3 linked regions of the Oryctolagus cuniculus genome follow. The protein of the gene in region 3 binds, or shares a complex with, the protein of the main gene of each other region. Links are inferred from orthologs where the notes say so. Each region holds a gene or a part of one and is shown on either strand. Other genes may lie near its edges. The genes, in order: ZFPM1, PRDM16 and RBBP4.

The links.
Region 1: the proteins of RBBP4 (region 3) and ZFPM1 are in contact, whole or in part, in a crystal structure (PDB 2XU7), measured with the Homo sapiens proteins. The link is inferred for Oryctolagus cuniculus from reciprocal best matches to the Homo sapiens genes RBBP4 and ZFPM1. Residues at the interface, in NP_005601.1 of Homo sapiens: Ala39, Leu40, Glu41, Trp42, Pro43, Leu45, His71, Thr72, Ser73, Glu126, Asn128, Arg129, Pro145, Glu179, Tyr181, Asp198, Glu231, Asp248, Glu275, Asn277, Glu319, Phe321, Lys376, Glu395, Asp396, Asn397; in NP_722520.2 of Homo sapiens: Ser2, Arg3, Arg4, Lys5, Gln6, Pro9, Arg10, Gln11, Ile12.
Region 2: the proteins of RBBP4 (region 3) and PRDM16 are in contact, whole or in part, in a crystal structure (PDB 6BW4), measured with the Homo sapiens proteins. The link is inferred for Oryctolagus cuniculus from reciprocal best matches to the Homo sapiens genes RBBP4 and PRDM16. Residues at the interface, in NP_005601.1 of Homo sapiens: Ala39, Leu40, Glu41, Trp42, Pro43, Leu45, His71, Thr72, Ser73, Asp74, Glu126, Asn128, Arg129, Glu179, Tyr181, Asp198, Val229, Glu231, Asp248, Glu275, Asn277, Phe321, Glu395, Asn397; in NP_071397.3 of Homo sapiens: Met1, Arg2, Lys4, Ala5, Arg6, Ala7, Arg8, Lys9, Leu10.

The regions. Positions count from the first base shown.
Region 1 is NC_091449.1:68,558,568-68,562,308, reverse strand, and holds the start of ZFPM1 (zinc finger protein ZFPM1), read right to left. Parts: upstream 2,698-3,741; 5' UTR 2,361-2,697; coding exon 2,321-2,360; intron 1-2,320. UniProt on the Homo sapiens protein: Transcription regulator that plays an essential role in erythroid and megakaryocytic cell differentiation. Essential cofactor that acts via the formation of a heterodimer with transcription factors of the GATA family GATA1, GATA2 and GATA3.
Region 2 is NC_091438.1:162,974,791-162,978,431, reverse strand, and holds part of PRDM16 (histone-lysine N-methyltransferase PRDM16), read left to right. Parts: intron 1-719; coding exon 720-854; 3' UTR 855-3,641. UniProt on the Homo sapiens protein: Binds DNA and functions as a transcriptional regulator. Displays histone methyltransferase activity and monomethylates 'Lys-9' of histone H3 (H3K9me1) in vitro.
Region 3 is NC_091438.1:139,875,016-139,878,656, forward strand, and holds part of RBBP4 (histone-binding protein RBBP4), read right to left. Parts: intron 2,642-3,641; coding exon 2,468-2,641; intron 2,123-2,467; coding exon 2,007-2,122; intron 1,908-2,006; coding exon 1,747-1,907; intron 1,635-1,746; coding exon 1,508-1,634; intron 1,373-1,507; coding exon 1,295-1,372; intron 1-1,294. UniProt on the Homo sapiens protein: Core histone-binding subunit that may target chromatin assembly factors, chromatin remodeling factors and histone deacetylases to their histone substrates in a manner that is regulated by nucleosomal DNA.

The sequences.
Region 1 (3,741 bases), on a different chromosome or scaffold from region 3:
AAAAACACCCTCGCCTAGCACGGAGCAGCTGCCGGGGCGGGGACGGAGGCCGGGCAAGTCCCCAGGCTCCTGCCGGAAACCGTCGGGGCCTGGCTTTCCACCGGGCATCTGGGATCCGGTCCCAGGCCCATTTCTCAGACAGGGAAACGGAGGAGCCCTTCTGACCTCGCCTCGCCTCCTCCCAGCCACGCCCCCTCGGCAGCCCGAGTCAGGGCCCATCCTTCAGAGTTGGAGGCCCAGGCCTAGCCAGCCCCCAGTGGCCACGCTCCCCTTCGCCCTCCCTTGCCCTGGGGCAGCAGCTGGGACCCTGTGCTGCGCACAGCCCCCCTTCCCCCCTGACTTAGGGCCCCCAGAGATCCCACACCCTAGGCGCCTCCAAGTCATGGAAACCACCTTAGTTTTTTTTTTCTCCAAGAAAACTCCAAGCTGCTTACTCCTGCTGCCGGCCGGAAGGGCCAGGAGGGGGGAGGGAAGGAGCCCTCTCCCCTTCTCCGGGTGACAGACCCCCACCATCGCCACACGTCTGGGGGAGGCCTCCCCTCCCCCTCCCAGGCCAGCCAAAGTCCGCTTTCTTTCATTTTGACGGACCGTACCACCCGAGGCGGGGGGGACCAACTTCTTGGCAACTCAGCGTGTTTGGGGGGAGCTCCCCCAGGACGCACGCTGCTCCCGGTGCGCCTGGCCGGTCCCGGGCCCCCTCGCCCGTCCTGCCCCAGCCGGTAGCCCCCGCCTCCGTCCCAGTCCCCACCCCGCTGCTGTTGCCTCGGACCCGGCCGGGCCTGCTGGACGCAGATAAGGCCTCTTATCGCTCCTGGCGATCGCCATCGGCCGGCCGGCCAGCGCTTATCAGAGCTCACATCAACCGGGAGGGAGGAGAGCCGGGCCGGCCGGGGGGCGCCGGGGGTCCGGGGCTGCGCCCTGCCGGGCGGCGGCCTATCGCAGCAGCCATCTGGCCGGCCAAGGCCGCGCTCCCGCCTCGCCCTCCCCCGCTCCCACGTTTGAAGTTAATAAATGGAAGCGCCTATCGCCGCCGCCATCGGTGCGCGCCCTATCAGCGCGGCACATCTATCTGCGCCGAACAAAAGGCGCTGGGGGCGCGGGCAGCTGCGCCCGGCCGCGGAGGGGGCGCGGGGGGCGGCGGCCCCAGGGCTCGGCCCCGCCCCTCCGCAACGCCCGCCGGGTCGCAGGTGAGGCCACGGCGCAGCTGCCATCGGCGCTGGCACTAAGCGCCAGCACTGAGCCGCCGGGGGCGGGGCGGCGCCCGGGGCCACCTTCGGCTCCGGCCCCCTCCTCTGCCAAGGTACCCGTCCCCAGCGCCAGCGGCGCGGCGACCCAGTCGGGCTGGGCTCTCGCCGCCGCGGCGGCCTTATCGGCCCTGGCGATCGGTTCCCAACCCGCGCTCTCCCTGCCCGCCCTATCTGCATTTCTCATCAGCCGAAACACACGAGAACAGACCCGAACACAGGCGCCCGGGGGGAGGGGGGAGCCGAAACCCGAGCAGGCGCGCAGATCGGACCTGTGGGTGCTTCCAGACTCGCGCGGACTCGGTGGAAGACGACTTTCGGAAAGCAAGTCCCACCTGCACCGGGGACCGGGACCGGAGCCCGCGCCGCGGCTCCGGACAACCCGGGTGCAGCGACCGCCCACGCACGGGCACCCGGGGTCCCGCTGGCAGCGGCCAGGCGCCAGGAGCCGAGCAGCCGGCCTGCCCCCTTCAACGCCTCCCGGGCGGGTCTGGCCCGGGGAGGTGGCCCTGGCTGCAGAGGCGCGAAGTTGTTAGGGGCGTGGGCCGGGGCGCGGCGCTTCCTGGCGCAGGGCGCCCTTATCTGTGGGGCATCAGTAACGCGGGGGCCGAGCGGCCGCCCGGGAGAGGACTGCTCGACCCGCGAAAAACTCGGCCGGCCCCAGTCCCCGCGACCTGTCCCGGGCTCCGCGCAGCCCCCGCGGTCGCCAGGGCCCCGCGTGCCGGCTGCGCGGCCGAGACGCTCCGGGGTCGGGGGCCTCGGGCGCGCGGCGCCAGGGGGGCCGGCGGCAAGGGGCCCCGCGCCGGCCTCGGGCGCCCGCCCCCCGGGTCCCCCTCTGGATACAAAGCCTGGGAGAGCCGAGCGCGCCAGATAAGATCACAATTTCTGCCCGTCCCGACGGGGCGATCTTATCGGGACGAGACTTGCAGAATGGAATATTTTAAACTTTATCGGCGCCCAGATCGGGGCCGCGCTATCGCCGCACCATCGCGGTGCGGGCCGGACCCCCGTCCCACCGCCGCCCGGGGGAGGGGACAGCGGCGCGCCCCGCGCGGGGTCGCGGCCGCGGGACTCACGCTTGATCTGCCGGGGGTTGCTCTGTTTCCTCCTGGACATGTCTCCGGCGCCGCGCGCCTCCAAGGCCGCCTCAGCCTCGGGCGGGCGGCGGCGGGCGGCAGGCGCGCGGCAGAGCCGCGGGGCGGCTCATGCCCACGGCCCCCGGCTCCGCAGCCGCCACGGCCCGCGGCCCCGGCCCGCCGCGCTCGGCCCAGGAGCCGCCGCGGGGGCCGGCGGCCACCGCCTGCTGCGGGCGCAGCTGTCGGCGCACGGGGCCGGCTCCTCGGCTCCCGCGCGCGCCGCCGCCGCTCGGCTTTTCTCAATGGAGCCTGCGGGCGGCGAGCGGCGGATCGGGCGGCCGCGGCCACGGCGAGGGCGAATCCCGGCAGGCGGGCCCTGCGCGTCGCCGGCCACCGCGCCTCTGGCCCCGCCCCGCTGGGGGCCGCGCCTCTCGTGGCCCCGCCCCCGGCCTGACAGGGCCTCTCCCCGCGCTGGCCCCGCCCACTGAACCAAGGTCCCGCCCCGCCAGGCTGCGCCTCTCCTCCCATAGGTCCCGCCCCGCCAGGCTGCGCCTCTCCCCGCGCCGGCCCCGCCCCTGACCTGGCGGCGCCTCTCCCCGCGCCGGCCCCGCCCACGGCACCCAGGCCCCGCCCCTGACCTGGCGGCGCCTCTCCCCGCGCCGGCCCCGCCCACGGCACCCAGGCCCCGCCCCTGACCTGGCGGCGCCTCTCGCGCCGGCTCTGCCCCCGCGGCCCGGGCCCGCCCCCGCAAGGCCTCGCTTCTCCCGGGTCTGGCTCCGCCCCCCACTCTGAATTCCCGCGCCGGCCCCGGGCCGGTCACGCTGAGCCGCTCACCGCGCTGTCTCCCGTGGTGGGTTCCCTCCTCACCGCGCTGGTCCGCCCGCTCTCGCCGCTCTGACCCCCTTAGCCTCGTTCGACCCTCACCGCTCTGGCCCCACCCCTTCCGGCTCCTCCCTCACGGCCGTGGCCCCGCCCCCGGCTCTGGGAGTCGCCTTCTGGCCTTCTCCGCCTCTCCTTGGGCCCTGGGACATTTGTCCCGGGCCCGGCTGGGACGAGGCAACCTATTCGGTCCCGCGGGACGCTCAAGTGCCTCAGGCCCCGCCCCCAACCTGACCCGCGCCGTCCGGCCCGCCCCGGACTCCGCGGCCCCGCCCCGGACTCCGCGGCCCCGCCCCGCCCTGCGGCCCCGCCCGCCCCGACTCCGGGCTCCGCCCCGCCCTGCGGCCCCGCCCCGCCCCGGACTCCGCGGCCCCGCCCCGCCCTGCGGCCCCGCCCCGCACTTCGCGGCCCCGCCCCGCCCCGCGGCCCCGCCCGCCCCGGACTCCTCGGCCCCGCCCCGCCCCGCGGCCCCGCCCCGGACTCCGCGGCCCCGCCCCGCCCTGCGGCCCCGCCCGCCCCGACTCCGCGGCCCCGCCCCGCCC
Region 2 (3,641 bases), about 23 Mb from region 3:
ACGCTATGGCCTGCAGCCCCAGCCCCCACTTCCCTCTCTGCTGTGGGCCAGTGCGACCCACAGCCCCGTGCCCGGGGGCGGCCACTCAGCCGGGTGGCCCCTGCTGCTAAGCTGCAGCCGTGACCAGGGCCAGGGAGTCACTAGGCCCCGACGCCCTGGCCTCCGGGCCCCAGCGTAGGCGGCCGCAGTGCCCACCTGCTGTCTCCCTGCAGCCGGCCCCCCAGACAGCCTCGCCCCGTCTCAGCTACAGCCGTCTGCATGTCTGTCTTTCGTCTTCCTGCTAATTCTGTCCGGGTGTCGACTTGGGTGCCTCCCCAGCACCCCGTGCTCGGCCCCGTCTCTCCCCCACCGCACCGCCGAATCATTCCGTGGCCTGCAGAGGCTTCCGGTGCCTACTCCCAGAGCGGCTCTGGGGTCCCCAGGCCCGGCAGGAGCGCAGGGTCTCACAGGAACTCCCACCTGTGCCCAGAGCAGACACCTGCGCTTAACTCCCGATCACCAACCGAACCACGCAGGGGCGGGGCAGGGTGACCGCGAGCGAGCCCCTGGCCAGGACGGGGACTCTTGGCGTCGCTCTGGGCAGGAGGGATGGCCCTTCTCCCTCCCCGCTGCAGGGCAGGGGAGACTCTGGGTCTCCCTGGCCCCGCTGCCCTCCGCCCCACAGTGTGGGCCAGGGGGAGGCTCCCTGCTCACGGCCCGCCTGCGTGTCCCCCCCACAGGCATACGCAATGATGCTGTCCCTCTCGGAGGATGCTGCCCTCCACACCCCCTCCCAGAGCTCGCTGGACGCTTGGCTGAACATGGCGGGAGCCGCCTCGGAGTCCGGCGCCTTTAACCCCATGAACCACCTCTGATGGGCCTGGAGTCCAGAGCGAGGGTGCCGGCTGCCCAGGATGAAGGCGAGGCCAGGGAGAAGCCCCGTGTCACCTCCTCCGACCACCCCCACAGCCGTCCCCTGCCTGCGTGGGCCGCGTCGAACTTTCCTGATGAAGACTCAGAAGCTGCAAGCCCCGGGGCTGGGGGGAGCTCCCTCCTCATCCCTGGAAACCGGCCCTGGGCCTGGTCGGTCGAGCCCAGCCCTCGCCTCCCGGAGCTGCCGCTCCAAAGCAGCCCCAGGCCGGGCCAGGAGCTGGGCCGCTTCCGGGCGCCCGGAGTCACCGAGGAAGGGACCGGCCCGGGGCAGGTGCGCTCTGCCGAGACCGGGCGCGGGCGCTTTTTATAATGAGAATGACAAGAGTGACGCTTTTGGTAATCTTATTGACTACAGATTCTATTTAAGCATGTGGGTTTTAAAAATAGACAGTATTTTTTAAAAATCAAAAAAATGACTTGCAAATTGTTTTTTAAAAGTAATTTTGCATTGCTTTGAAATTTCAGCTTCTCGCAAACCCGGGCGCTGGGAGCCAGCACTGTGCTTGGGCGAGCTCTTTATACTGTAGATAACGGAGAGATTTTCTATCTCGGATCCCATTTGTACAAGCCAGGTTGATTCCGGGTGCCCCGAGGCAGAGCGTGGGGTGCAGACTGGACCGAGGCGTCTCAGACGCGGTGCCCGGGCTGCAGGCCTGCCCGGGGCCAGGACCTGGAGGTGTGCCCGCCTGGGCGGCCTGGAGCTCCTGCCAGGGCCTCCACGCGGCTGCTGGAGAACCCACGGGCGACCACCCCAGACTCCCCGGCTTCGTGGGGAAGCCAGGAGCCCGAGGCTCAGGCCCTCACCCGGGGGTGGCCGGGGGCCCTGGCCACCCTTCCAGAGGTGGGGCCTATTGGCCACATTCTGGCTCCGTGTCCTGCCCGTGGCCACCCAGGGCGGGGCGGGGGCTGCGCAGCTCGGCTGCACCAGGACGCCAAGCGCTACCTGTGCCTACGGCCCCAGGTCGGCCACCCCGCCGTGCCACCCTTGGCGCAGGCTCCTGGCCAGACGTCCGGGGCTGCAGAGAGAGCGCCCAGCCCCCGGGCACGGCAGTGGCTTCTCCACTGGGACGGGCTTTAAATTATTCCCATGGGGCCAACTTCGAAGTATAATTTTTCCGTGATGGAATTCACCTTAATCTGTATATAACTTGTAATTTTTCTAATCATTTCTTTTCTTATTTTATTTCTTCCTTAACAGTATTTTTTTTGGCATTAGACATTCTTATTGTGAAGAAATGATGTTAATATAAGTATCTAGTGAGGGACCAAAACCGTGTATAAGGTTGTGTGTTGTGTGATGCGTCACCAGGGAGGGCGGCCAGCTGACGTGCCAAATACCCCGCCCCGCCCGCCGCGACTCCTGCCGCCGCCGCCGCCCGTGCCCAGACAATCACGCCCTGATCAGTCTGAGTTTCAGACGCATTCGCATTGACGACGAGTGTTCTATTTATTTCTTTTGTCGTTTGGGGAAAAAAACAAATCCTCATACTAGTGTCCCACTAAGAAGAGAAAAAATCACCCACGTTGCCCTTAAGAGGAAACCGCGAGAACGCAGACGACTGCGGCCGCGGCCGCGTGGACTTGTCATTCCAAGGACACCTCCTCCGTGTGCGCCCCGGGGGCCCTGACGCACGCGTGTCCTGGCTGCTCCAGGCCAAAGACAGTGGGTGCCGGGGTCCAGGCTCCTGCCGGAGACTCACGGCAGAGAGGCCCCTGTGGGCGACGCAGCGCTGCAGGTCCTGGGGTCAGGGGTCAGCCCTCGCCGGATCTACCTGGACGCAAGACGGAGGCCGCCTAGCACGAGCGTGTGCAGCGGCAAGGCGGGAGCCGAGGAGCTGGCGCGGCCCCGTCGGAAGCCTGCAGCCCAGCCGCAGCCGGGCCGCCAGGTACCGACCACGTAGGAAGTCTCCCCTCATCTGAACGCGACCCTGTAAACACCCTATTTCTGTAAACCAAATTATATGATTTCTCCTGCGAACGAATGAGCTGTGTGCTTCTTTGTGTGCTAAGACTCCTCCTCTGTCCGTCTCTCTCTCTCTCTCTCTCTCTCTCTCCCACGTGTCTCTCCTGGGCAGTGACCGAGCAGGCAGGGGCTGCCCTCCCCTGGGCCCTCCGCGGCCCCGGGGCGCTAGCTCCGCCCCCTCTCTGGAGATTTCTCTTCTTCCCGGAGAGTCGCCGACAGTGAGGACCACCAGCCGTTCCCCCTCGAGCATGTCCCTACTCCCACCACTTGGCATTAGGGTTGGGGGGCTCTGTCCCAAAACCCCCCAACCAAGAGAGCACTGATCTCCCATGCTGGTGCACCCCCAAAACATGGCCTCCACCAGCCGGTCCTGCGCACCTGGCTTGACCCTGCGCCAGCTCCAGCCCCAGCCCAGCAGTGCCTGGGCCCTCAGCCGGCCACTGTCAGGACCAGGAGGCCCACTGAGAGGCAGGGAGCCATGATGCCGGCCCCCGGAACGCCAGTGGGAGCCAGGTCACCGAGCAGCACAGGCAGGCACTGGGCGGGGCTGCTGGCTGGCGGACCACTGCGGGGGTTCACACAAGGCTACTACCCTGGTGCCGACCTTGCTCCCCAAAACTGAAATCCAGGGGCCCCTCCCGCTCCTTCCCTCCGCCACCCTGCAGCCCTTGTGAGTCAGCACCCTCCCCCCAGGCCCCCCGCGCCCCCGGGACGATCAGGACATGCGGAGGCCCCTGGCCTCGGGCCAGGAGCAGGTCCCCAGAGT
Region 3 (3,641 bases):
GAAAACCAGGAGCTATAAAGGATGAATGAATGGGCCGGCGCCGCGGCTCACTAGGCTAATCCTCCGCCTTGTGGTGCCGGCACACCAGGTTCTAGTTCCGGTCGGGGCGCCGGATTCTGTCCCGGTTGCCCCTCTTCCAGGCCAGCTCTCTGCTGTGGCCAGGGAGTGCAGTGGAGGATGGCCCAAGTGCTTGGGCCCTGCACCCCATGGGAGACCAGGATAAGTATCTGGCTCCCGCCATCACATCAGCGTGGTGCACCGGCTGCAGCGCACCAGCCATGGTGGCCATTGGAGGGTGAACCAGCGGAAAAAAGGAAGACCTTTCTCTCTGTCTCTCTCTCTCACTGTCCACTCTGCCTGTCAAAAAAAAAAAACAAACAAACAAAAACAAAAACAAAACAAACAAACAAACAAAAAAAAACGAAAAAAAAAATAAAAAAAGATGAATGAATGGAAACAAAAACAATTGTCAGGACTAAAGCTGTGAAAATAATCAGACACTAATACCCTAAGATTGTAGGTGGCCAAAATACAGTTTGATAGTACAGGGGAGGGGGAGAGGGGGCAAGAGCATCGTGTTACACAGTGCAGCAAGTTAAGCTGCCTCATCTGATGCTGTCATCCAATATGGGTAGAGCTTGAATCCCGGCCCAAGTCTGTGGGTCTCTGGCTTCAGCCTGGTCCAGCCCTGGCTGTTGAGGCCATTTGAGGAGTAAACCAGTAGATGGAAGCTCTTTCTTTCTCTTTCAAATAAATAAATCAGTCTAAAACAAAACCAACTAAAATCCAAACTCAAAGAAATAACATTTCTCTGTGTGTGTGTATACATATATAAAACACAACACAATTGGAGGAAAAACAACTCATTTCCACAGATGTTAATACAGGCAAAAAGAAAGATCCCTACTATTTTATGCACCAGATAAAGCACAAGTGTGCCCAGTAATATACACAAGTCTTCTTTTAAGAAAAAAAAATTGGGGCCGGCACTGTGGCATACCAGGTAAAGCTTCCGCCTGCAGTGCCGGCATCCCACAGGGATGCCGGTTCATATCCCGGCTGCTCTGCTTCCGATCCAGCTCTATGCTGTGGCCTGGGAAAGCAGTGGAGGATGGCCCAAGTCCTTGGGCCACTGTGCCTGCGTGGGAAGAAGCTCCTGGCTCCTGCCTTTGGATCAGCGCAGCTCCAGCCATTTAGGGAGTGAACCAGTGGATGGAAGACACCTCTCTCTCTGTAATTCTGACTTTTAAATAAATAAATTAAAAAAAAATTTAGTAACACTGGTGCTTCTTACCTGGAATATTTCATCTTTATGTGATTCAAAGGAATGCAACTTCAGTTTCAGATTTCTCAAATCCCACAAGGCAACAGTCTACATACAAAAGGAAAAGAACAAGAACAATAAATTTTTTTTTAAAGAAAATCTGTGACTAAAAAGATCTATGTACATTCCAATGATGCTGGGGAAATTAATCCTATATATTCTCTTAAAGTAAACAAAACAGACCTTGTCAGCCGATCCTGTGGCAAGAATGAACTCACTATACGGATTGAAAGACAGGCAGTTCACTTCAGCAGTGTGAGCATCAACTGAGTGGCTTGGCTTGGAAGTATTGTTTGAACGAGTATCCCAACTTAAAAAAAAAAAAAAGAAAGAAAGAAAAAGTAAATAAGAAAAACGCTTGAAATGGTAACTACACAACTTAGGAAACACTCAGAGGAAAAATAAAAAAGGATCCCACTCACATCATAAGTTTCTGATCATCAGCAACCGACCCAAACAGAGATTCATGGAGAAGATGCCAGGAAACATCCTCTACGACCGCTGTGTGCCCCGTAAAGATGGTTTTCGCATCCACCACTTTTCCTTCCTTTGGAACAGCACTGATGTCCCACAGGCAGATGGTCTTAAATGTAAAATCAACCATTAAATGACAAATTTTTACTTCACAAACCTCCTAAAAGAAATCCAACTGGTAATTAGCCCAAATGGGAAGGATACACACGTGGTCATCAGAAGCACTAAGTAAGTGCCCACTGAGATTTGGGTTCCAAGAAAGTCCATAGCCTTCCTTCTGATGTCCACGGAGACGTAAATCTGGGTTGCACTCTCCAGAAGGGTCTGCAGAGTTGAGACACACCAAGATTACCTACTCCATCAACTCTCTGGATCTACTAAGCATAACACAACTCGACTGGATCAAGGTATCTAAAGTTTAACATTTAAAAATATAGAACTCATTATGACCAAATATATGATACTTAAGGTATATTATCATTCTGCTTAAAAAAAATTTTTAAGGCAAGAAGCATAAAGGGAAAAATGTATGCATTCATATTTACGTAGTAATATAAATCACAAAATGTTAAATTATACAAACAACAAGTAATTATACTCAGAATGAGTGGAACCATGTATTCCCACTCTTGATGCATTATTTGCAATTGACTAGAAAAGGGCAGGTACCTGGCTTAGAAGGATGCTTAGTATAGTCGAAGACAAGAACATCACTGGATGGAGTCTTTGTTGCAATGATGCAAGGGTTCTGGGGCATATAACGAGCTCTGTTTACTTCTCCTTCATGGTTGATCTTTATTTCTATTTCAATTTTTCCACTAACTGATCCAAAACCTCCAAATTCTGTAAATAAGATCAAGTGCAAATGAGGAAAAAGCAGGAATTATTCTAGGTATGTCATCCAGAGTACAAGGACTTTTATCAGTAAGCCAGTATACAAGTGATTTAGATATTTGTTGGTCTTTTACACTCTAAGTACATAGTTAAATACTTAATAAGAAGCACTGCCCTCACTATTTGAAATTAACTAGCAATTCCACTTCAAAAGGAGATTCTTACTAGTTTTCAAGTATCATTTAAACTACAATTATGCCAAATAAACAAAACTCAAGTTACTATTTAAATGATTATTAAGTACACAGTTTACTAAGCATTAAAGAGTCCCTCTTATACCATTCACCTGAATCTCTAATTTGGGGCACTTCCCACCTTAAAAAAAAAAATGAGGTTAGCATTAGTGGGTTAAGCCATGGCTTTTGATGCCAGCATTCCACACAGGACCAGTCTCAGCTGTTCTGCTTCCAATCCAGCTCCCTGCTAATGTGCCTGAGAAAGCAGCAGCAGATGACTCAAGTACTTGAGTACCTACCACCCAGGATGGACTTCAAGGCTCCCGGATTTGGTCTGGACCAAACCTTGGCAGCAGTGGACATTTGGGGATTGAACCAGTGAATGGAAGCTCTCTCTGCTTGAAAAGATAAATAAATGCACTCCAATATGGGATGCAGGTGTCCCAAGCAGCGGCTTAACCTACTGTGCCACAATACCTGCCCTTGAGTGACCTTTCTGAAATACTATCACACTCATATCCCTACAGCATTTCTTTTAGCCCAATGAGGAGTAACAGAGCCCCAACAGCTAATTCCATTTTCTTGACCTCCATTTACACTTGCCAATCAATGTCCTTGGTTGAAATAAAACAGGTATGCATGGACTAGACAAAAACACTTTAAATTCTCATTTTGACTACTATATGCATCCAAGAGTTCACCTAAATACCATTACAAAATATTCAACAATATAATAAGGCAATATTATAAGGCAATATAAAAACAAAGGTATG